Diceros bicornis minor: one gene and its partners. The protein of the gene in region 3 purifies or fractionates together with the protein of the main gene of each other region. This does not show direct contact. Links are inferred from orthologs where the notes say so. Each region holds a gene or a part of one and is shown on either strand. Other genes may lie near its edges.

The links. The genes of interacting proteins can lie anywhere in the genome.
Region 1: the proteins of SMARCA5 (region 3) and BAZ1A purify together in Homo sapiens (affinity purification with western blotting; 8 studies listed by BioGRID and IntAct, with this or other methods). This does not show direct contact. The link is inferred for Diceros bicornis minor from reciprocal best matches to the Homo sapiens genes SMARCA5 and BAZ1A.
Region 2: the proteins of SMARCA5 (region 3) and MYO1C purify together in Homo sapiens (affinity purification with western blotting; 3 studies listed by BioGRID, with this or other methods). This does not show direct contact. The link is inferred for Diceros bicornis minor from reciprocal best matches to the Homo sapiens genes SMARCA5 and MYO1C.

Annotation. Positions count from the first base shown.
Region 1 is NC_080744.1:14,467,119-14,475,177, reverse strand, and holds the start of BAZ1A (bromodomain adjacent to zinc finger domain protein 1A), read right to left. Parts: upstream 3,012-8,059; 5' UTR 2,871-3,011; coding exon 2,758-2,870; intron 1-2,757. UniProt on the Homo sapiens protein: Regulatory subunit of the ATP-dependent ACF-1 and ACF-5 ISWI chromatin remodeling complexes, which form ordered nucleosome arrays on chromatin and slide edge- and center-positioned histone octamers away from their original location on the DNA template to facilitate access to DNA during DNA-templated processes such as DNA replication, transcription, and repair.
Region 2 is NC_080757.1:16,228,366-16,236,378, reverse strand, and holds the start of MYO1C (unconventional myosin-Ic), read right to left. Parts: upstream 3,012-8,013; 5' UTR 2,834-3,011; coding exon 2,759-2,833; intron 1,974-2,758; exon of another isoform or gene 1,885-1,973; intron 1-1,884. Other genes in the region: INPP5K (inositol polyphosphate 5-phosphatase K), read right to left, coding at 6,300-6,359, 6,547-6,651, 6,820-6,903, 7,167-7,304.
Region 3 is NC_080750.1:33,315,249-33,322,724, reverse strand, and holds the start of SMARCA5 (SWI/SNF-related matrix-associated actin-dependent regulator of chromatin subfamily A member 5), read right to left. Parts: upstream 3,056-7,476; 5' UTR 2,664-3,055; coding exon 2,487-2,663; intron 1-2,486. UniProt on the Homo sapiens protein: ATPase that possesses intrinsic ATP-dependent nucleosome-remodeling activity.

The DNA.
Region 1 (8,059 bases), on a different chromosome or scaffold from region 3:
CAAAATAAAGGAGCCTGCACTATATAATCATTAAGGATCCATCCTGGTCACAGTCTCTGTCTCAAAGAACTCAGGGTCTAGGAAAAGAGAAAATGTGAGGCAATAAATACACTGCATTACAGTGCAATAACAGCAGATGTTCCACTAGATAAAATGGAGGGGGGGATCACTGCTGTCTAAAAAGACGAAGGAGGAAGTGTTAGGCTATAATACCAAGTAAGATAAAGACAGAAAACTATTTAGCAATTAAAAGGTCACTGGCAACCTCTACCAACCAGAGTTAGAGGCAAAAGTTACTTTGCACTGTGCTGGGAAGTGAACAAGGCGGGGAGGTGTAGAAAATCTCTTTGAGACTGATTAGAGAAAGGTCTATTTACAAAATCAAAAACCTGAGCAAATAGGTGGGCATAGTGGTCTTCAGACACATACAAAAGAAGAATATTCGAAGTAATGCACTCAAAAGATAATCTTCAAACAAATTCATATAAACCAATTGGTGATTTAGTGAATGAGTGAAAACAGAAGTTTCCTTCATAGTTTCTCCAGAATTGTGCTGAGGGTCAGATTACCATAATACTGCAGAGACCACCATATACCATCCACCATGAATGCACTTTTGGAAAGATCTCTTTGTAATCATCTAAGAGAAAGAAAAAATAATCTCAAACTTAACACACAATTAAATGTCAGTCTTCTTCCAATTTTGCCAATTCAAAGTCATAGAGATTAAGACCTAAGGACACTAGGAGCTCTGCTTTGTTCAGGGTAAGTGATTAAATATCTTTGCTCCCAAACCAATTGCCTATCCTGAACTGTTTCTAATTTCCAAAAGCCCAAACACTTCAGTACAGAGAAAACAACAAAAAACTAGTTATTTTTAAAGAATTTTTAATATCATAAGACTACAAACGACACAGTTCCCTAATATTAATAGAAGGTAGTAGGTTTGGAATACCAAAAATCTCTTCCTTTGTTTCGGCATTTCAGATTTCTCCACGATTACAGTAAATCATCAAGAACCAAGTATATGAAATGTTTAATTCAAAAAAGATAACAGCCATAGTCATTCTCTCCTCTACAGTGAGAATAGCCTCTTAAAAAGATAAGGTTGCTTATATCAAAGGAGAAAACACTTTGAAACTTAAGCATGTTTCCTCCTTTGTTGGCACTCGAAATACAATTTTTTAAAAATCAGAGTTATTACGAAGGATTTTAACTTAAATTAAAAAAAAAAAAGACATCATCCTTGTCAAGTTACCTAATCCAAATTCACTTAAGCAGTTACAAGAGTGAACCCTACTTGAGTAACAAAACAAGTCTGTACAGGAGCAGAGTAAGATGTGCACTCCTATTTAAAAGCACTGTCTGCTGAAAAACTTCTCTAAATATAACATGTTTATGTGTAACTCTTTCTGTGGAGCTGGAAAAAAAGGCTTCCTTAAAATAAAAGCTCAAAGGAACTGGCTTTTCTAACTTCGCTAGTCATTTCTCAGACAGGTGCAGAGTTCGCCTAAAGCCCTCCCTCCATCAAGCCCCCATTCAAAAAGGTGCCTTCCAAACACAATTTATTTGGTTGCTATAACACTTGGTTTCTAAGCCACAAAGGGATTCCTTCTAAGTGGAGAGGATAAAGCATAAGAAAAAGGGAGGATCAGGCTGTTTCAGTGATTGATCAATTCAGGTTCTCACTTGGAGATCCTGTTTAAACACAGATCTCTGAAACACCCCGTTGTTTGGTGTCACAGGACAAGGAGATCTCTTGGGATAAACCAGGCAAGGGACTGAAAATTTAGGGGTTGAAACTACACACGCAGCAGCTCCGGATTCTTATCAAAACAATAGCGAGTGGCACATGTCAGGCGGCCCACATGCGCAGGGGGATAAAGAGGAGACTGGCGGAGGCTGGAGTTGAACTTGTCTTAACCCCCTCCCCCAACTCCCACCGCCGCGCTCCGGGCTCGCGAAAGTGAAAACGAGGGGCGCCCGGGGCCCTGCTCTCCGCCCCCCCTTCCCCCGCCCAGCCCCGACTTCTTCCTCACCCGGTCTCCCGGGGGCGGAGACGCTGAGTTCTCCGGGGCCGGGAGTTAGTCACCAAGAAGAGGCGGTGACAGAGCGCACGGCTCGCGTCGCACACTCGCGGCCTAGCCGCACCGGACGGGAGGCCGCCGGCGGAGGCTCTCGTGCCCCGGGCCCCACCGCCCCCGCCCGCAGGCAGCTCCCTCCCGCCCTCCCCGAGTCTCACCTCCGCTCCCGCCCGCCCCGACCCTAGGCAGCTCCCACGTCAGGCTCCACTCCACCGAAGGAGCGACGCCCAGCCCGGCCGTTTCCTGCCCCCGGGGGCGGGGATTCCCTCCCCGGGCCGGGGGACGGCGGCCCCGAGCCGCTGACCCGAGCGGGGATCCCCTCGGCCGCCGGGCGGGGATCCCGGAACTGGCCCCGAAGCGCGCGTGTGGCCGCGGCGGGGAGGGGCGAGGCGGGGAGTTTCCGCCGCCCGGGCGGCCGCCGCGGCGAGAGGCGGTCCCCACGGCCGGCCGGGGACCCCAGCCTTCCCCGCCCCGGCCGCTCTCCCCGCGCGCCGCCCCGGGACCCCGCGCAGCCACCGCGTCGGACTCCGGGGACGGAGAGGCGCGGGCCCGCGGCCACCCGTCACTTTCAAGTCGCCCCGCCAGAAGCCCGGGGCGAGGACCGGAGAGAGACAAAAGGCCGCTGGGGAGGGATCCCCCACACCCTCGCACCCCCGCGCCGCCCGGCCCTTACTCGTAGTGGCGGAAGATCTCGTTGGTGACTTTACAGTAGAAAACTTCCTCGTCGGGCCGCAGGTCGGCGGGCGGCTGCTGTCTCACAAACGGCTTTCGGTGGAGCAGCGGCATCTCCCGGCCGCCCGCGGGCTCTCCCGGACCCCGGCCGCGTCGGCGCCGCTCCCCTATCAGAAGTGGAGGGAAAGGACAGCCGGTAAGGTGGGGAGCGCTCGGCGGCGCCGGCCGGTCCGCGCGCCGGGGAAGCTCCACTGCCTTTTGTGTGACAGACGCGCCGCGGCTGCCACCGGGGCCGAGGTGGCCCCCGTCGCTGCCGGGGTACTGAGCGAGCGGAGCCGCCGCCGCCTCCGCACGCCCGGCCGCCGGCTCACAATGGGGCCGAACGCCCCGCCGCGAGCGGGCGGTGCGGGAGCGCGGCGGCCCCCTCCCCCCGCGCCGGCTCCCTGCCCGCCGCCGCCGCCGCCGCCGCCGGGCTCACAACGTGCTCGGCGCGCAGCCGGCCCGCCCGACGCCGCGAGGGAGCCGGCTGCCGGCGGCCCCCGGCGCCGCTCCGCTTTGTTCCCCCGCTCGCCTCCACTTCCCCGCCGGCGCTGGCCGGCGCCCGAGCGGCCACACGGAGCCCTTCACCTGCGAGCACGCCGACGGCCACCTCTTCACCTTCCCAGCCACAAAGGCAGCGAGGGGAGGCTCTGTCCTCCCGGGGGGTCGCCGCTCGCCGGCCCCGCCGCGTCGCCCGCCGCCGCGCCGCCCGCTGCCACGGCCTGGCTCCGCGCGGGGGATCGCGTCCCACCGCCGCTTCCCCGCCTCTCGGAGCTCCTGGGAAGTTTCTGATCTACTTTCGGCTCAGAAGGAGGAAGAGCTGTTGGGAGGAGCTTTTCACTTCTCGCTTCTACCTTTTTATTGGCTACTCGATGACTTTTACAGCCTGTCACTGATACAGGAAGAGACGGCGGAGAGCCTGGGAGAGCTACATTATTAATTAATGGAGCAACCCCTTGTGAAGAATCAGAAGCATCCTCCATGTTTGAGATTATCAGCCAAAAGATCTAGGGAAAGCGCTGGGGTTTCGTAAACACAAGTCGAACAAAGTAAAGCCGTCCTCTTCAAGTCTGGCACCATCGCTAGGTTGGTTACACGATGGGAAAAGGAGTCCGATTAAAATTTAACTGTATTTTAAAGATGGGAGGAGGAATAAGAAATAAAAAGTATTTTGATATTTTCTTCTTCCAAATTTGAATTCTCGTGTCTAAAAATATATTTCGCTTGTGTAAACATCCATTTTGAAAAGAAAATACCTTTCTTGACAGCAGTTCTCTTTAATACTTAGAGCAATTCGGTTAAAAACTCAGCAGAGGAAGAGACCAAAAAAGTATATATTAGAAAATGTCATCATGCCTGTAGGACCCTCACATATTTAAAAAACACGCCTTTAACAAGTAATATTTAGAATACACCGCTGAAAATATTTTGCAAAGGATCAATATTTAATTCAATCACTCAGAATTTTAAAGATTATGGATTTACAAGTGAAATTTCCCCTAAAGAAACTTTCCCATATCTATAATTTCCATTTATGAAACTAATTTTAATGTACATAATACATGTGACTTTTGAATTAAAAAGAATTTTCAAAACTACGAATAACTCCAAATGTTTGCCAGCTTTTTAAAAAGGATCTTTTTTGTTACTGCCCTTGACATTTACTTGTTTGCAGATTAACGTGTAAGAATGAATCTCAAAGTAAGGTTGAAGAACAGTCATTCAACAAAGAACATAACTAATTACCAATACTGTGATAGAAACAATGTGGGATCATCTTTACATCTTCAAATACTCCAAAGTATGTATGTACATTGGAGCAGAAAATGTAAGGAATCCAAATCTCAAGAGTTATCATTTTTTAACTTCTTTCAAGATACTTTTAGGGTGGCTTGCAAAAATACAATTTTGTGAAAGGCACTATATGCTTTGAGTTTTAAAAATCATTCATAAAATTAATACACCTCACTGTATGAATATAGAAGTCACAGAGGCTTCGAGATGCCCTCAGTAGCAAGTATATTCTTTAGCCTGGATAAACTCTTCAAAAAATGATGCATTCAAAGATTTGGTGTTTTACACTGGCCTCCAACTAGTACACCAAATGACAATTTAGAATTCCCTACCTAGAAAGTATGTAATTTTCCAGGTGAAAAATTTAGACCCCACGAAGGCAAATTCAGAAAGGGGGACAAGGAGGATGGATAATTTTCAACTGACATTGAAGCATCACTCTCACGATTCAAAATGCTGACTTAACTGTTAAGCTAAAAACAGATGAGATTTCTCTGAATATATAGCATTTATATTTCTTAACTCTCACTGTTTGATAAGCTGTTAAAATAATTTTGTTAAAATCACGATCAAAAATAGTAATGTTAATTTTACTTTTATTAAATACAAAATTTTAAACAATTGGATCCTTTTTTATACTAACTTAAAATTGAAATTTTATTCTGCTTCATCAAAACACTATCATACTCAATTTCCCTACTACCATACTCAAATTTTGCTATCATAACTCAGTTCTCTGAGTTACATACATAGGATTTATTTTAATGATTTGTGATATTTAATAAAAGTTATACATAGTTGTTCATTGTTAATTCAGAATAACGTTAAGTTTAGTAAATTATAGTTGACATATTAAAAAGTTTAGTTTTGATGTGTTTATAATACTTGATCAAATTGATAGCATGCCTAAGCTACCTCAAAATAACACTTCTCTTAAAGTTATCCTACATATTTACTACAAAAAGCTTACCTAATGTATTATTCCATATTTTCGTATCATGATTACTTTCTTGCTTTATTACTACTTCTAGATATTTGAGAGTGAAAAGTTCATTGCTGTATTCAGAAAGTATTTAAAGGAAATGTCATGAAATAGAACTTTGTGTAAAAAAAACTGGCTATATTGTAAAGGAAACTATGGAAGTTAAAGTATCACAGGAAAAAAATAGAGAAAACAATGAAATTGAAATCATTGAATTTTTTAACAATTTAATTCAATTAAACATTTATCAGGCTCCTTTTATGTGCCAAGACACTGTAGTAGCTCATGTAAGGGATACAATGTAAATGTATCCTGGACTCAAAAAATGTACCATCTTGTAGAGAAGAGATGACATCAAGACAGATCACCAATACAAGAATTGTGTGAGTCCTAATGATCATGAGTAACATAATGCAAAAAGAGAAATAGAAAAGATTAGAAGAAAATGTAGAAGGGGGACTCAGGATCAGACCTAAATGAAGTCAGCCACGGGGCATGATTTGAAGGGCAACAGAAAGCTCATGTTCCCATATATCCTTGCCAGTCTCAAGATGCAACCCCCACCCTCCATTAGTCACCCCTCTGGGTGAAGATACCAATGGCCCCCACTTAAATGTAAAATGTAAATAAACCAGTTAGGCAGGACATATATTAATCTAATATCATCAAGACATAGTTTAATATTTAAGAAGGTATACTGCCTTCGATAGGTAAAGACAAAACAAGACTATGAATATGTATTTTAAAAGCTTGAGCTAGAATACTTTTCCTGTCTTCTATTGACTGATTAAGAAAGGCTTTACTTAGGTGGTTTGGTGAGGCAGTAATTACTTAGAGCTGAAGGAAACCTTTGGGAACTCAATTCTCTCATTTGCAGCTAAGGAAACTGAAGCTCAGGAACTGGAATCTTGGCCTCCTGACTCCTTGTCCAGTCTCTTCAGACCACACTGCTCTTTCCTGGGATTCGATAACATCTAATTTTCTTATATAACCTACTTACACTGTATCCATAAATAAGCCAAAATACCATTCCAAATCCTTCCTAAACTGTTAAAATGCATAAGGGGATAAGATATATTACTCATGATCAGAAATAATAGTTATTTTTGAGAATTATCCAGGAAAGCGATGGGGGTAATAAGAATCTTAAATTTGTCTAATTGAACAGCTGACGAGTCCTGTCTCCGTGCTTCAGTTAATACATCTAACAAATATAAACACTTCATGTCCCTTACCTCTAAGTAGCAGTTGTAAAAGTGTTTAGAGTATAGCTACCCTGAACTCTTCTGAGAAAGTCTTCTAAATATATACAAGGAACATCAACTTTATAACTCCTTTCCTCAATATCTCTGACACCTGTCTCAACTCTTCTATGTTCTGTTTTTAAAGTCTTCCTGATGAATTCATGGCATTTTACCTATAAAAAATTTCTATATATTGTTCTTTAGAAGCAATGAATATGTTTCCCTTCATAGCTGAAACCACTGGCCTAGTGTTGGGATAGTGGTTCTAGACCTTAGCTGCCCATTGAAATCACCAGAGGGGTTTTTGAAAAGTACTGATGCCTGGGCCATACCCTAGACCAATTAAAACAATCGCTGGGGACCCAGGAACTTGGAGTTTAAAAATCTGCTCAGGTGATACTAATGTACTGTGAAGTTTGAGAACTACTATGCTTAGAGGAGATTGGATGCTTAATGCTGAAGTGGTAATGTTAGCAAATTTGGAATGCATTTTTTTATTCAACCCGTTGTGATTAAAGTCATGAATTATGTGATGGTAGTAGGAGTTGAAAGAATAGTCTATGGCCATCATTATTATCACAGTAATAGTTTACACTTAATGAATGCTTCCAGCTTGTCAAGCATTGTGCTAACGGCTTTAAATGAATCATCTCATGCAATTCTCACAACAAAGTACTATTTATCATTTCCATTTTACAGATGAAGCTGTTGAGGCGCAGAGAGGTTAATTAAGTAGCATGCCCAAGGTCATACAGCCCAGAGGCAGAAAAGCCCAAATTATTGACTCCAGTGTCCAACTCCTTACTACTAGTCTATATTTCCATGGGACTGATTTGCTAATCTAACTCTGACATAAATTGAAACAAGGAACTCGATCGTATGCACTATACCATTTAGAACTTGTAATAATTAAGAATGTTTGTAAATCATAAAAGCACTAGAGGAAACCAGGAAGAATTTAAAAAATTATCTCAGAGTGAGGAAAGCTTAAGTATAACACAAAGCCCGGAACCCATAGAGATAATTCTATAAAATAAAAATTAAAAATTTCTCCATGACAAAAGCTACAAGCCAAGTTGGAAGACAAATATCAAACTGGGAAAAAATTATTTGCAACTCACTGTGAAAGGGCTAATTTCCCTAATATATAAATAATGTCCTATTTCCCTATTATTTAAATAATAACAAATCACAATAACCCAGAGACACAGAAAAGGAAATACAAATGGATTTTAAAACATATA
Region 2 (8,013 bases), on a different chromosome or scaffold from region 3:
GCAAAGGCAGGGATGGGGCAGGCCCAGGAGACCTGGGTCATCCAGAGCCCTTTACCTAGTGTGGGCCAGGTGCACCCAAGCCTGACCTCTGGAGGAGAGGGGAGGGCAATGGGCAGCCTCAAATGTTCCCCCAGCCCAGGGCCACCCAGGCCTTGAGAGGGTATTCTGAAGACCCCCAGATCGCTGCTATAAGCTGATTTCCACAGAGGCAGCCTCATGACCTGTTGGGGCAGTGGAAAGAACCCTAGCCTCTCTCACCTGCAGCGCAGTGCTGGGTGCAGAACAGGTCCTCAATTTATCTTTGTCGAATATATCTTAGGTCTGGGCCCAGGCTGCCCCACCAAGGACTGTTCTAGACTCAAGGGAACCGTTGTGAGGGGCAATGGGGAGGAAAAGTGGGGCCTTAGGGGCTCTACCTAATTGCTCACAGGACCCCAGTCAGGGGCTGTACACTCTAGCTTCGGAGCCATGGGCCTTTGGCCTGCTAGACACTTCTGCCTGGGGGTCCAGCAGAAGTAAACAGAGCACCTTGCCCCCTATCCTTCTTGTTTAATATCCTGTAGGTAGAGAGAAGGGAGGCACCTCCAGCTAGTCATCACCACCTGACCTCAAAAGGCCTGTCCTGTCCCTCCACTCCTCACACCAAGAGTCAACACTCGCCAAACCCCCCACCCCCTGCTCCTCCATCACTGCTCCACTCCTGACCGGGCAGCAGCCTCCAAACTGGCCTCCCTGCCTTCCTCCTCCAATCCATTTCCCCACAGCAGCCTGTGGTATTTACAAATGCAAATCAATCAATTAACATCTCATGTTAATAGAGTGAAGGTTTATAGGGCACCGGTCCATGTGCCAAGCCCATGTGCCGAGCCTGTACTTCACACCCACTGCTTCTTGCCAGGCCCCTGAGTATAGACTCCAGCAGCCCCCTCTGTCCTCAGTTTACCCCCCTGCTCCTGCATTCTTGTGTGACCATAGGGGTGGCCCTCTCCAGTCCCTTCTCTCCCCATGCCTCCCTCACCACCACACAGAGCCAGGAGAAGCTGCTCCCACCCCTGCCACCAGCCACATGTGGCTCTCTAAGCTTCTTGCCTTTGCACCTGCAACTTCCTTGGCCCAGCGCACCCTCCCTCCTCCCCACCTGACTGACTCTTAGTCATCCTTGAAGACTCAGCTCAGGTATCACCTCCTCCAGAACCCCTTCCGACTATCCCCAACACACAGCCCCCTCCTTATCGCTTTGCGCTCTAATCGCCGGTTTTCTTGTGGGTCTCTCCCAGTAGCCTGCTCCCGCCCGGAGCGTACACCCAGTCCGGCACACAGTCGGGGCTCAATAACCCCTCGTAGACGCCTGCATAAATGAATGAATCACAGAGCCCGGGAGTGTGAGCAGGAGGCCGGAGCGCGCTGGGAGTTGCATAAGGCCCTGGGCCAGCCATTCATTCTCTCATTCATCTCGGAGGCCCCCATCTACCACACTCACGCCGAGGCGCGCAGAAGCCACTGGCGCGGCTGGGTCCGGGGGGCGGAGAAGGGGAAGGGGCGGGGCTCGGGCAGCTTGTGCGGAACCCAGAGGCAGAGCCTGGCTGGTGGAGGGGCCCAAAGGGCGCGCAGGGTGCCTGGGTCCCGGGACCCCAGCTGCTCCTTCCCGCCCTCACGTTACCCGCAAGTAATCTAAGTCTCTACCCGGCCTAGTTCCGGCGCCAGCGGGTCCTGGGACCACGTACGGCCCGGGCCGAGCCGACCCTCGGCCCCAGCGACCCCCGCCTCCCGCACGGTAGCTCGGCGCCTGGCCGCCTGCCCGTTGCCCCCATCCCACCCGCCAGCGGAGGCCTCTACGGGCCACGCGGCTGCTGGCCGCCCGGCGCCCGGGCCCCGTGTACCCACCGTCTCGGTTCTTCGCGTGCGTGGGCGGGGGCCAGGCTGGGCGGCGTGGCCGGCTCCCCAGTGCTCGGCCCTGGCACGCTCTCCCCGCCCAAGGCCCGCCCGGGGCCGGGCCGCTGCCTGTCGTCATCCCGGGCAGGGCCCAGGCCTCGGCGCGCGCGCGCGCGCGCGCTCCCTCCGGCCCCGCCCGGCCCTGGCGGCCCTGGCCCTGGCCCCGGCCCGCGTCCGCGGAGACTTGGTGCCGCACACTCCGCAACCAGCTCCTGGGACGAGGCGCGTCACTGTCACACACACACGCGCGCGCACCCCCCTTCCAGCCAAAGACCCGGCCCACTCGCTGCAGTGTTGGGTGGGTGGGTGCATCTGATGGCTTTCTCTCCCTCCTCATTCTAGGGCCCCTTTGCATCCCCAGAGCAAACCCGACCCTCCCCTGCGTGCCAGGCCGGGTCAGTTCTTGTCCCTTTGTGACTACCTCCCTTCACTCCCCCCTACCCCCACCCCGCTACTGCTCTGAGTTGGCCAGTCCCAGTTCTTTGGGCCAGACGGAGAAAGGCGAGACATTAACTGAGCCTGTACTATGCGCCTGGAGCGCATAGATCCTTTGATCTCAGAGCAGCCCTGTCACCAGTTCATAGCCCCCTGAGGATCAGGGAACCAGAGGAGAAGGGGTTCAAACTCAGATTCCTGCTTCGAAAAACCCTGCCCCTAGTGGTGCTTAAACCCTCACCCCTTCTTGTCCAATCTGTTCCGGTCCCACCAAGGATCAGAACCCCTCCCCACTGCTCACCACTTTCCTGAGGGGTTTGCTTAAGAGGGGCTACTGGGCCCTGGGGAGACACTGCCACCCTTCCTCCCAGCCCAGAGCATCCCAGCTTACAAGCTTGCAGGGTCTGTGGGGATGAACCACGCGGATGATCTCCCCGGTGGGTATCAGCTCCACTTGCAGCGCCATTCTGCCTGTGGATAGCCAGCGTGCAGAGCACTGGGGCCTCTGAGCAAAAGCTTGCCTGCCTGCTTGCCCACTGGCTCTGGCTGCTCCCGGAGCCAGGAATCTGGTCTCACGCCGGGATGGCCACTTGGTTCAGCTTCAACTCCAGCCCCAGGGGATGTGTCTGGTCCAGCTCCTCAGGACACAGCTGGAGCAGCCCAGGTCTGATTGGGAGGCCTCTTGGCCCAGTGGGTTGGGGCAGGAAGAGGAGGGGCTGAGGGATGGAGGAAATGCCTGTTGTCCCAGGTAACCAGAGGAGCTGATGCAGTGCAGCCACCGTGGGGGACCCTGGGCTCCAGGTCAAAGGGTAGGAGGCTTTTCCCCCCAGCAGCTCCATGGCTGGCCTCTCTCGCTGCCCACTCACTGGTGAAAGCTGGAGAGCACAGTGACCACTCCCCAAACCAGAACGCACATCCTGCCCTAAGCCAAGAGGATCCATCAATAGGCACTGCCCCTCCTGCATGCTCCCCAGCTTGCCTGCCTCCCACAGCAGCAAGTGAGCCCCTTGAGTTTGAGAGGCTAGGGCTGGTGGGGGATGGCCATGTTGGGCAGAGGGGTTTAGCTGGAGAGGCAGGGGACACTCTGAGGAAGCCCCTGTCCCACCCTCCTCTGGAGCCTCAAGCGCTTGGGAGGTTGGTCCCTGGGTTCCTTGGCTGTGGGCAGCCTTAGCTCTGTTCGCTTCTTGCTTTTCCATAGTACCCTCATGTGCCCCCTAACCAGCATGTTCCTGTTTTTCTGTCTTTATTGTTGCTAAATCACAGCTGACACTTTCCTGGCCTGGGACTGAGCCCTCTAGTCTCCAGCCATTCCTTATAGGAAGTGAGAAGGGGGAAGTGGATGAGGGAAAGCAACCTTTCCAGAGGGAGACACTGGCATAGGAGGGGCAGAGGCCAGTGGGCCTCTGCTGGTCTTGACAGCCCCTCGGGCAGGCATCTTCCCCCAGGCACCCTTCCCTTTCCTCCCCACAGCTTCCCCCGCCCAGGAAAGGCCAGCAAAGCTTCCTTCCTTCCTCCGGGAAGCACATCTATCCAAGGCAGGCTCATCCCCGGCAGCCACACAATGGCCCTTATCAGCCTCGGAGCCAGGCGCAGAGACCCAGCACACACGGAGTCTCACATATTTCCTGTTTCCACCCAGCGGGTCATGGCTGGGCCCAGAGCGGCCATATCCTGACTGGGGCCGAGAGGAGGGAGAGCACTCCCCCTTCCCCTTCCGCCTCTCAATCACTGCTGCACTCACCCCTCCCAGGCAAGGAGCGCCCTGCAACAGGAGGCGGGGTAGGGGTCTGTGAAGACTTAAGGGGGCAGGGGAGAGGTGGGCACGTGGAGGACAAAAATGCTCCACAGCAGGAGAAACGGGGGAGCCCTGGAGTCAGAAGCCCTGAGACCCAGGCCCAGGGCTACATTAATCAGAATGAGGAGGTAGGTATAGGATTGCTCTGTGTTTTTTGCAATTGTTCTCTCACAATAATCTTGTGAATAGGTTCATTATTTGTACTTTACAGACAACTGAGACTCCTATGTGGATAGAGATGGAACTGATTCAAACCTAGGTCTTGACCCCAGTCCTGTTTCTGGTCCTGCGTAACACCACAGCTGCCTGTGTAACTCCAGAGGGCTCATGCCACTTCTCTGAGATTTGGTTTCCCCATCTGCCAAACAAATGGTTGTGCACGTGAGAAGGAATGAGGTGGGCAAGTGCGAGGGCTCAGGGTTCCTCAGGTGTGTGTGTGTTGGGGACAGGGAGAGAGATTACAATGGGAACCTCGGGGTATGGGGATCTGGGGAGAGGCGGCACAGAGAGAAAAGATGGTGACATTTTTGGATAGCTTAACCCAGGACCAGTGGTCAAGACTAAGGTGTGAGAGAGTGACAGGTAAGGAGGGATGGACCAGTGAGAGCAGAGTAAGCACCTTTTCTGAGTTCCAAGAAACCCATTCTATTTAGCAATGGAATAAACTAAGTGCCCAACAGCATAGGTAGCATGCCCCAACTGGGCCAGGGACCCAGAGGGCCACCATCCCAGAACCTCATCTCATTCCTACCCAGGCAACATCTGTCACTCGCAGACACAGAAAGTCTAGTCTGGATCTACAGGGCCCTCGTCCTAGAGTCTAGCAACGGCCCATCACCATGTGCCCCCTCCCACCACCATCATGAAGGAGTCACAAACAAGTGTAAAAGCCATGTTTCTAATTATGCCCCAATGCAACAGACACAGAACACAGACAGCCACGGCCCTCTAAAGCCAAGGGGACAGTTCTAGATGGTACCCACAGCTCCCAGGGTGGAGTATGGAACGTACAGCAACTGGAGTGGCCCTGTCTCAGATCATAGGATGGGCATGACAGTCACAGAGCGGGCTCCCTGAGGTGTCTTCTCCTGCGAGAAGGGCTGTTGAGTCACCAGTGGCTGGAGGCAAGTGGTGGGAGTGGGGACAGACCTTGTCCACGCAGCACCTGGAGAATGCTCTCTGAAGACCCCCAGTGCCAGATTCTCCAAAATGTCTTGATTCTGGCTCTCCTCTCTGCCTGCCCCCACCTCTAGGTCCCAGAGCAGTCTAGATAGGTTTCTGGCCAATGACTGCAGGCAAGGGTACAGGCAGATGAGCTCAGCTGGGCAAGGACTATCTTGGAAAAGCCTGTGGCCACAGCTCCTCTACCACCTGGCCAACCCTTCACAAGAGGGCAGGTTGGGGGCATGGAGCCTGACCCACCAGCAGAAGTGAACCTGGGTCCAATTCTCTGTTCAGGCCCTGGAACTTTCTGGTTCATACTCCATGGGGGCGAGGGGGTGCTGGCAGAAGGACGCTCATCAACCTGTCCACAACCCTACCAAAGAGCCTGGGTGGAGGGACCCCTCATCCTGCCCACTTAGTCATACTGCTTCTGCTGAAAGCAAGGATCCCAGACCCTCTGCCCATCCCTCAGGGGGACAGGCAACAAAATGCCAAGACTCCTGGAACCCAGTGCTGCTTGTGCTAACCAGTCTATGGAGCCTGTACAAATGTATCTCCCCCTCCCAGGCAGCCTGAGGCCCAGGATGGCGTGACAAGAATGCAGGCCTGTGCCAGATGGGGCATGTGCCTGGCAGGCCTGCTTGGGCAGGACTAGAAGTGTGTGGGGGGAAAATCAAAAAATGAGATGCAGGCTGGAGGGTCTTTCCCACATCTGGTGGACTGTCCACAAGTCTTCACTGTTGACAAACTAGCTGGTTTCACTCACATCTCAGTACCAAAAACCTGTATTTAAGAGGCTGATTCTAGAGATCTAGATTGGAGAGAGCAAAGGAGTGTGCTAGAGCTCCCCCTGGGAGGTGGAGGATACTTGCTCCCTCTTCAGAGGGCTGGGCTGGGTCCCCAATGCTCCTGGCAGTGGTAGGCAGAGCTGGCTGCCAGCTCTGGCCTCCGCCCTGGATTCACTCGTCCCAGCTCAGAACTGTGGTTGGGCTTCATCCAGTAGATCCTCCCCAAAGAGCGAGCGAGGCCAGATCTGCAGGAATAAAGCAGGTGGTGAGCGGAAGGGAGAAGAGCAGGCTCTCCTCCGTGTCATCACTCCATTCCCCAACTGATGCGGCTCCACCATGTGGGCTGGCTCCTAGGCCTGTGGCCTCGGTGAACTGATGATGGGCTCACATCATCTGTGATACCCTTCCCCTGACCCCACCAGCATCTCCTACCTTGAAGGGTTTGCTTATCCCCACCACAGAATGTAGACTGTTGCTATAGTAACAGAGGAGAAACTGATCCTCAGTCTCTGGGATATCGCTGATGTCCATGTATACCTGGAGCGGGGGATGGACAGGAATGGGGTCAGCTCCATGGTCCTGGGCCCCACCCAGCTCTCAATGACAAGTTATCCAGCTCTCTATTCCTTCCAGAAGACAGGAGTGCTCGGGCAAGCCCACCTGCTGGAAATGTGGAATACCTATCTCAGGAAGGGAGGCAGGTACCTGGTTCAGCCCGACGCTGAAGGAGATCTGGTTGTCCCCGACCCAGACATAGGACACGTAGTCATTAATGTGGCGCAGTCCCACCTGTGGGAGGGAGGGTCGGGGGGTCAGTGGTCATGGAGGACGTGGGACCTACGGCAAATCTGAAGGAGAGGGTCGTCTCATTCCTAGGGCTGGCCATCATATTGGATGCCTCTCTCTCCTTCACTGCCAGCCTCTAGGTGGGCAAGGACCCCTGGGGTGGACAAGGGTGAGTTCAGTCTCTGTGCCCAGTTCCCGTGAGCCCTCAGGATGGATCAATCAGAGGGGTGTGGCTCAGGGACTCCCTGCCTCGCCTGCCACATCACCTTATACAGTCCAATCCAGTCCCAGGGGCTGCTGAGGAAGCCTGGGGTCAAGGAGTAGCTGATCAACGCGTCCTTCTCCATGGTCCACAAGCCCTCGGGCATCAGGGTGATCAGTGGTGCAGATACCAATGGCTTCAGCTATACACAGGGGTGGGAAGGGGGTTGAAATTCCATAGCATCATTCCCTTCTCTGAGGTGAATGTCTTTACTGTACCCTTCCAATAGGTCAGGGTCAGTGGGGGGAGGAGGGGCACCCAGCGGGGTGGGCACAGAACTCCACTAGGCTGTTCTGAGAAAGTATCGGACCTTGGTAGGCCAGCTGGAAAGAGAATGGGCCCGAGGCTTGTCAGGGGTGGCTGGTCCTGCCACAGAGATGGGGCTGAGAGCCAAGTGGGTAACCAAGCAGAAAGCTAAGTGCTGAGGGGTGAAGGTGGAGAAGAATGAGGGAGTTGCTCACAGGTTTAAGAAAGAAGCCAGGTAGCTGCTCTCAGGCCTCCAGGGCTCCTGACCCAAAGGCCCAAAACCAATTTTGCACGGTGGGGTGGGGGTGTGGCTCTGATGAGAACAGCTATAGGGATGTGGAAGGACACAATGGTGGAAAGACATACAAACCAGCATGAAAAGGTGATGGCTGAGGGTAACCGGCAGCTGGAAGGTCAACACTGCCTTGGTCATTCGATGGCCAGATACAAGGATGGAGGGAGCTTCCTTTGCAACCCGATCCAGATACATTTAGGACAAATAAAAGGAAGTCCTGCTTCACTTAGTAGGTAATAAGCATAATGGAACTCATTTGCCCCAAGGGACAGTACCGAGAGGAAATGGAAACCTATTCACAAAGGGTCTG
Region 3 (7,476 bases):
CCAAAAAAATAAAATGTGCTTTCCAACAGTAATCATCATTCCTTCCATAGTTGGGGGGAAAAAAAAAGATTTGGATTCCAAGACTCCTGAGGTCATATGATTATTGGCATACAGAGTGCCTATCTATCAGTCTAGTCAATAGTGAGAGCTGAGAAGAACAAAGACAGGCTCCATCCACACTGCCAAAAGATGATAATAAACAAAAAATGAGATTGTTTCCTTGATCTATCAGTACCAAGCAAAAAGGAAAAACTAACTGAATACATAGGAAAGGTAGCTAATATTTCTGGGAAGGTCAGCTTTGTCAGAAAAAAATCATAAATGAAAGATTTCATTTATTTTCTGATTTGGGGAAAACCCACCTTAAATTCTACTTTCAAAAAGAAAATGGCATTTTAAAATATGTTTTTCAACTGTGAACAGATTGCCAGATATATCATGCATGTATACTCAAACCTAGTTTTTACCATTGATTTTACTCAATGACTTCTGAATTCAGTTGAGGGAAAAAAGCAGACAAGTGACATTTATTTTAAAAGACCAAAAAAAAAAATCACACTATAATGTGAAAAGAAAAAAATCACAACTAAAATTAGTCAGTGAAAAAGAGATTGATAAAAGATAAAATTACTGTAACGCCTATTCTGACAAGGTAAAAGTAAGTCATTCTTTAATAAATGACATTGTCAAATATCTCCTTTGTAAGAACATGATAAGGCAAGATATGTGGGAAAAGGGTCAGTTTCAGAGCAAACATGGGTTCTATCACAGGTTCTACTTATCAGAAGACTCAGTTTCCTCATCTGGCAAATACTAAAAATACCACTGACTTCATTTGGTACTTATTATCACATCAATAGTAATACTTAAACTCTAATTCCACTTTAATTTAAAGATAGCAACTGAAAGCCAAAATAGTTTAGGCTTTAAATTACTCTGCTTTCTGACATTTAAATAACATCTCTAGTGAGACATCGATTATTATTCTAAAATTTAAATGACAGACTCTTTTGAGAGGCTAATGAAAACTCTGGATACCACTTTGTAAACAATTGTGCATTTAAACACAACTGCTTTCAGCGTCACAGATTTTCAAACCCCCTTAAGCCATGGAGTAGGACCAGGTTAAAAAGCCCTGATAATCCAAAAGAACTATTTAAAACCTTGAGTAAAAGAAACAGGCAACACTAGATAGGAAATGGAAACCAATCTCAAATCACTGAAAACTACAGAATATCAGATGTCCTACTTCACTAAAACCTACCCTCATCGCTAAAAGTTCTTTGAAAAACTAACAAAATAATGTTACTTTACCCTGGATTAGACCTTTGGTGCCCAAATAAAAATACTGAACCAAGTATTTCAATGGTAACCTGCGCTTCCATTTCCTTATTGTGTTAATTCTGCATCAAGATTCATTTTTAGAGCAGTATTACCTCCATTCCGTCTATCTAAGGATGGAAAAATCCCAAAAAGCCTTGGGCTGCGACTATAAAATATCTCAAAACAGATCGAAGGCCAAGAATGAAATTTGGAAGGAGCAAGCAATCACTTTGTTCCCAGACATCGCAAAGCCTTGGAGCACACCCAAGAGACCCGCCTGGCCGCTCCCCAATCTTTCCACCCCCGCATACTGTCACCATTCCCCGGCCAACCCTAGCCAAAAGGCAGGGTCGGCAGCGAGCGGGACCAATTTTCAAAAAAAAGGCCAAGGCCCAAAAAGAGGAATTGCGCCGCACTGAAAGCCAACTAACCGCCCTTGGCTCACTAATTCATTCATCCACCCATCCATTCCCTCCCCCTAAATGAGAGGGGGGTCCAAAACAGCTGCTGCTGCCTTGGTCGCTTCCCTCCCTAAGGAACAGTGCCTGGGAGGGGCCTCCTCTCCCTTCACAGGAGCAGCTGCGCCCCGCTTATCCCCACTGCGCACTCGGCCATCCAGCTCTCGCCATTGTTTCTGCCCAGAACAGATACCGCCCCCGCAGGGACCGGGACGAAGAAAAGCAGGCCCAAGTCCTCGGATGCGCTGCTTTTAAATGCCTTCCCCACCCCGCCCGTCTATCCCTCACTCCTAAGGGGCAGCTCCCTCGCCCTTCCCCCAAGTTTAGTGGAAACTAAAACCTAGATTCAGAGACGAGAGAGAGAATTACAGGAGTCTAGAGGAAAAAAATTAAAAAACCCGGGTAAGTCCCTCTTGGCCTCGGTAATCAAGAACATCTGTTTAATAAGAGAGTTCAAGGATTTGGCAAGATTCGCTCCAGAGACAATGTAAAATGGGAAGTGCAGAAATCCATTTCAGCCTCGTTGGGTAGGTTAAACACAAGGGCGCAAGGGTGAGAGCATCATTTCGGATCCAAAGAGTTTGAGGCCGAGTTTGGGTGCAGAGAGGCTACGCACAGCTCTGCGTCCGATCACTAAAATCCAGGCGAGGGAACCAGCTCCTCCTCACCACGGCGCCCTCTCCCCAGGCCACAAGCCGCCCTCACCTCCATCTCGGAGTCCGCGGGGCCGGCGCTGGCCGCACAGGAAGCCACCTGGGCCGCGATGCCCTCGGGGCCGCCTTTGTTGCTGGTGTTGCTCCCGCTGCTGGCGGCCGAGGCTGCGGGCTTGGAACGCGCGCTCTCGGGAGGCGGGGGTGGCGGAGGCTCGGCCGCGGACGACATGATGTTCCTTCTGCGTCACCCGATGCTGCCAGAGGCCGGGCCGGCAGGGAGGAGGAGGAGGCCTAGGCCTGGCCGGCTACGTCGCAATGAGCGGACAGAGGAACGAGAGGACCACCCGAACGCCCCCCGCGCCGCGGCTCCGCGCCGAGCCTGAGCCGGGCCCAGCAGCCTCCTCCTCTCGTCGTCCTCCTCTTCCGCGGGGCTCGGGGTTCGACCGGCGCTTACCTCACGGCGGGAATCACGTCGACGAGAGTGGGCGGGGCCACCCGGGTCACTGAGGTCAGGGAAGGCGGGCTGAATTACAGGAGGGCGGAGGGTTGGAGGAAGAGGAAGGGAAAGCGAAAGAGAGACCGAGGCGAGGAACTAGTTTCGCCCCCTCCGCTTCTTCCTCGTAGATAGCATCTATCTCGCCAGCATCCCAGACAACTACCTACGCCACCGACTTTCAACCCTCGCGAGATTGATAGTTGGCTAATTGACTGAGTACCGAGTGCGCATGCGCATTCTCCTCTCCTCACCCTAGCCACGCCCCCTTCAGGGCCCCCAGCGGGCTCTAGGGCGAGGAGTGGGCGGGGCCTCGAGGAAGAGCTCGGAGACGCAAGTCTGTGCGTCGGCTCCCTGGCGTGACGCGAGCCCAGTCTTACATGCGTTGATAACGGCTGGCTGTCCTCGGCGGCCGTGTGTTCTTGGCTTGGCTGGTTCGGCGGACTCGTGGAAAACTTGCCCAGGTTTTGCGACGCTTACTGAAACGGAGGCCTGTGGTGGCCTTAGCACTTCGATCGCCTCGGCTTATAGGCGTGACGCCACAGCGTTGACGATATTATAGTTATCCCAAGTGACGTCTCACGTTTGTGTTGTCTAAAGAAAAGGGCCCATTAGGGTGATTTTGTTTTGTTTTGTTTTTATCAGTCATTTCTAAATTTCTTCTACTTCCCTTAGGTACAGAAACAATAGTTCCTCTGAATTTACGTGGTAAAAGTAAGCAAATTATGTTCACTCTACCATATGAGAAATCAATAGATAAGGAAGAGTGGCGGTGAGTTGTAATTTATCCTCGATCACCAAATATTAAATAAAAATGCACATCCTTCTCCTTGTTAAAGGTAATCACCACTAATTATTTTGTACACTGCCTTAGGTTATCTTCAACGTAGCCTAAGGGTCTTGTGCATCCATCTACCACAGAATTTAAGCACGTTGTATCTGTCAACTTTAAAATAAAATTGCCAATTATTTTACCAGCAAAATGAGTTTATTTGGGAATAGCAAAGGAATTGCAATTTGGACATGTGCACCATAGGCAAGGCTGAAGAACAAAGGAAGGGAGCTTGCTGTTATACAGAAAAAGGAGTGTTGGGACAGTTCTAAATGAAAGTTCCTTAAATGAAAGTTCCTTGGAGGAGAGTAAAAGTTCAGAGTAGCAGAGCTCCTCATTGGCCGAGCTGCAGTGTTTTCCATCGGTGGGGCTTGTTGCTGGGCAAGAAGAAAATCTTTCCTCCTCCTAGAGAAGTAAGGTAGTAGGCAACTTTCTGTTGGAGATGTAAGGTAGTCTCTTCCTGTTTGGGGTAATTGAGGAAGAGTAGTAGGGCACTGGTGCTCTCTCTACAGGCCTTCCCAACTCCAACTTTAGTTGAGGTTTCTTTTGCTAATGTTCATATATTCTATTTAATGACAAATCTGCATACTACACTAAATTTTTGTCTGCCCTGTACAGGCGCTTATTTATCTTTGTATCTCCATGTCCAGTATTCTATCAGTGTTTATTGAATAAAGCAGGCACATTTTTCAAGAGTTAACGGTTTGAGCTAACTGGTTGATTATGTTGAATTTCAAACAGAAGAGATCTCCTTTGAATATATAGCCTGCAAACTTTTACCTAATAGAATGATAATTCTTTAATTGAGATCTGGAAAAATAATCCCCCAACCCGTTAGAAATGCTAAGGATATGTGAAAAGAAAAATACCTACAATGATGTTCATCATAGTCTTTGCTAGTAATTGCAAAAAACTAGCAATAGGCTAAGTCCAATATTGAAAAGTATGATTCTAGAACTATTGTATACCCACAAAATGAACTATTATTAACCTTTAACAACCATTAATGTAGAAGAACATTTATTCTGAAAAAAACTTTAACTGAATGTTAAAGTTTCAGTTAAAAAAATGTTTAACTGAAAAACGTTTTAACAGTTCAAAAATATAGATAAAAGTTTGGAAGGATAATAAAGTTCTGAAAGTGTTGTTGCTGTATATTTCCTAATTCTTTTTTGCTTGTCTGTGTGTTTTTATATTACTAAAATAAATCTGTATATTATTATATTGAGAAGACTTATTTTTAATATTAAAAATGTTTTCTCACCAAAAAAAATTGTGTGGAAGGATAAAAATGGTAGTATCTAGGGTGGGACCTGATGTATAGACAGTCAATAAATACTTATTGAATAAATATTTATTTAATATTGACATTGTTAAGTAGAAAGAACATAACATTTATTTGGTATTCAGACTATTTCTTCACTCCATAGTGATACATAAATATCTTGGGTCCTGGTTTGGAAACCCTAAAAATATACTTAAGTATATAAATGGAAGGGTCTTAATTCTGACAACTATTTAAGGAAAGCAATAAATAGCAAGAAAAGCAATAAATTAAATTATCTCCAAAATGGCAATTGTACTTTAACATGTGCATTTATACTGTGAGTTTCTCATGTGAGCATGGGAAAGCTGTATTAGAATCTTGCTGGGGAAAATTGTAGAGGAAAGATAATTAGAAAAAAGGACAAAGAGGAGACAGAATGTTTGAATCCACGAATCTAACGTCAGGGACAAAGAAACAGATTTTGAGCAGAGTCTAGGAGCAGTGAGGAAGAGGAGAGGGGAGCTACAGAAAAGATAGGATGCCTGGAAACTGAGCTATAGGGACATTAGCTGAGTTAGTCAGACAGACAGTAGTCTTTATATGGTGGCCAAATCACGAAGGCTCATTTCTCTTAAAGACTAATAGGCTAAAACTAATAGCTACTTCTGGAATTGATAGTATAATATAGGATTAGTGTAGTGGCAAGAGAGTAGGCTGGGGAGTCAGTCAAGCCTAGATTCCAGTGCAGGCTCAAGAACTTAGTAACTGTGTGAATGTAGGCAAGTTATCTAACTTCTTTGAAATCAATTTTCTCATCTTTTTATTATTATATTATCCTAACTTTATATTGGGGTAATCTTATAATGATGTCATAAGAATTAAATGAGATGGTGCATGGAGGGTGTTTAATACAGTGCCTGAAATATAATGAGCCCTGTGTTCAAGTGTTGGGTATTCCAATCCTGAAGAATCGTAAGACTAAGGGTCAGAGTCTAGTTGGAGGAAGAGTAAGCTAATGGTTTTTTAATAAGTAGGAGGATAAAGGAAATAGTGTCAAGGAAACTCTAAAAGAAATTACTGCTTTAACCACGTTCCCAGAAATAAAATGCTACAATATAAAACCACGTTAGTGTTCTATCTCAAATATGCAAATAGGTATTTATGCCTGAAATTCCCTCTGTTAGATTTAGCGTGCTAGAACAGCATGTGCTGTGCTGAATAGAGTGGAACAAAGAGATGTTGCCAAAGGACAAAAGATGTCACAGAGCCAGGACTCTCTCAGCATTTTCACCTTGAATGGTAACAAAAAGGACTTAAGTTTATCAAGGAAAAAGTAGGAATGCTGAGCCTCTCTTCATCACATACTCATTTTATTTTGTGAAAGCCTAGGAGAATAAAATCTGGTTACTACATAACAACAATAAAACAGTATTGAGATTGTGAGTATCTAAGAATGGGAATTTCCAACACTAAATACCAATGATCACATCTTGTCTGTATCTTGCTCAGAATTCTCCTACATAGGTCATTTGCCATGTAAGGGGATTCCAATTAAACCAAAACATTAACTATGCTCTTAATAAAAAAGATAAGTAAGGTTTAAACACATTTCACTTCCTTGAAAAATATAAGCTAAAGTAACTCAGACAATATGAAATAGATAACTTGAATAACGCTATAACTATTTAGGAAATTAAATCATAACCAAAAAACTCCCCAAAAGAAATCTCTAGCCCCAGATGGTTTCAATGGAGAATTCTGTCAAATATTTCCACACAATTCTACACCAATTCTACATAATCTCCTCCAGAAAATAGAAGAGAGTACACGTGCCAATTCATTTTATGAAGCTGCTATAACCTTGATACTAAACCGAACAATGCCACTATAAAAAAAGAAAAAGGCAGACAAATATCACTGATGAATATAGACGCAAAAATCCTTAACAAAACTATTAGCAAATACGGTTATGCAATATGTAAAAATAATTGTGTACCCTGACCAAATAAGAGATTCCAGAGATGCAAGACTGGTTCAATGTTTGAAAATCAATCAGTGTTATCTGCCATATTAACAGATTACAGAAGAAAACTCACATGACTATATCAATCGACGCAGAAAAAGCATTTGACAAAATTTTAACACCCATTCAGGATAAAAACTCTCAGAAAAAAAAAAAAGAGGGAGACTTCCTTCACTTAGTAAAGAGCACCTACAATACCTGCAGATAGCGTTATGCTTGATGGAACTGAATGCTTTTCCTCTAAGATCAGAAACAGGCAAGGATTCTGCTCACACCACTGAGATTCAATACAGTGCTGGAAAGGAAAAACAGAACTGTCCCTATTTGCAGATGACGTGATTACCTACACAGAGAACGCCAAGAAATCTACAAAAACATCCGAAGGCCTAATAAGTGAGTTCTGCAAAGTTTCAGGATACAAGATAAA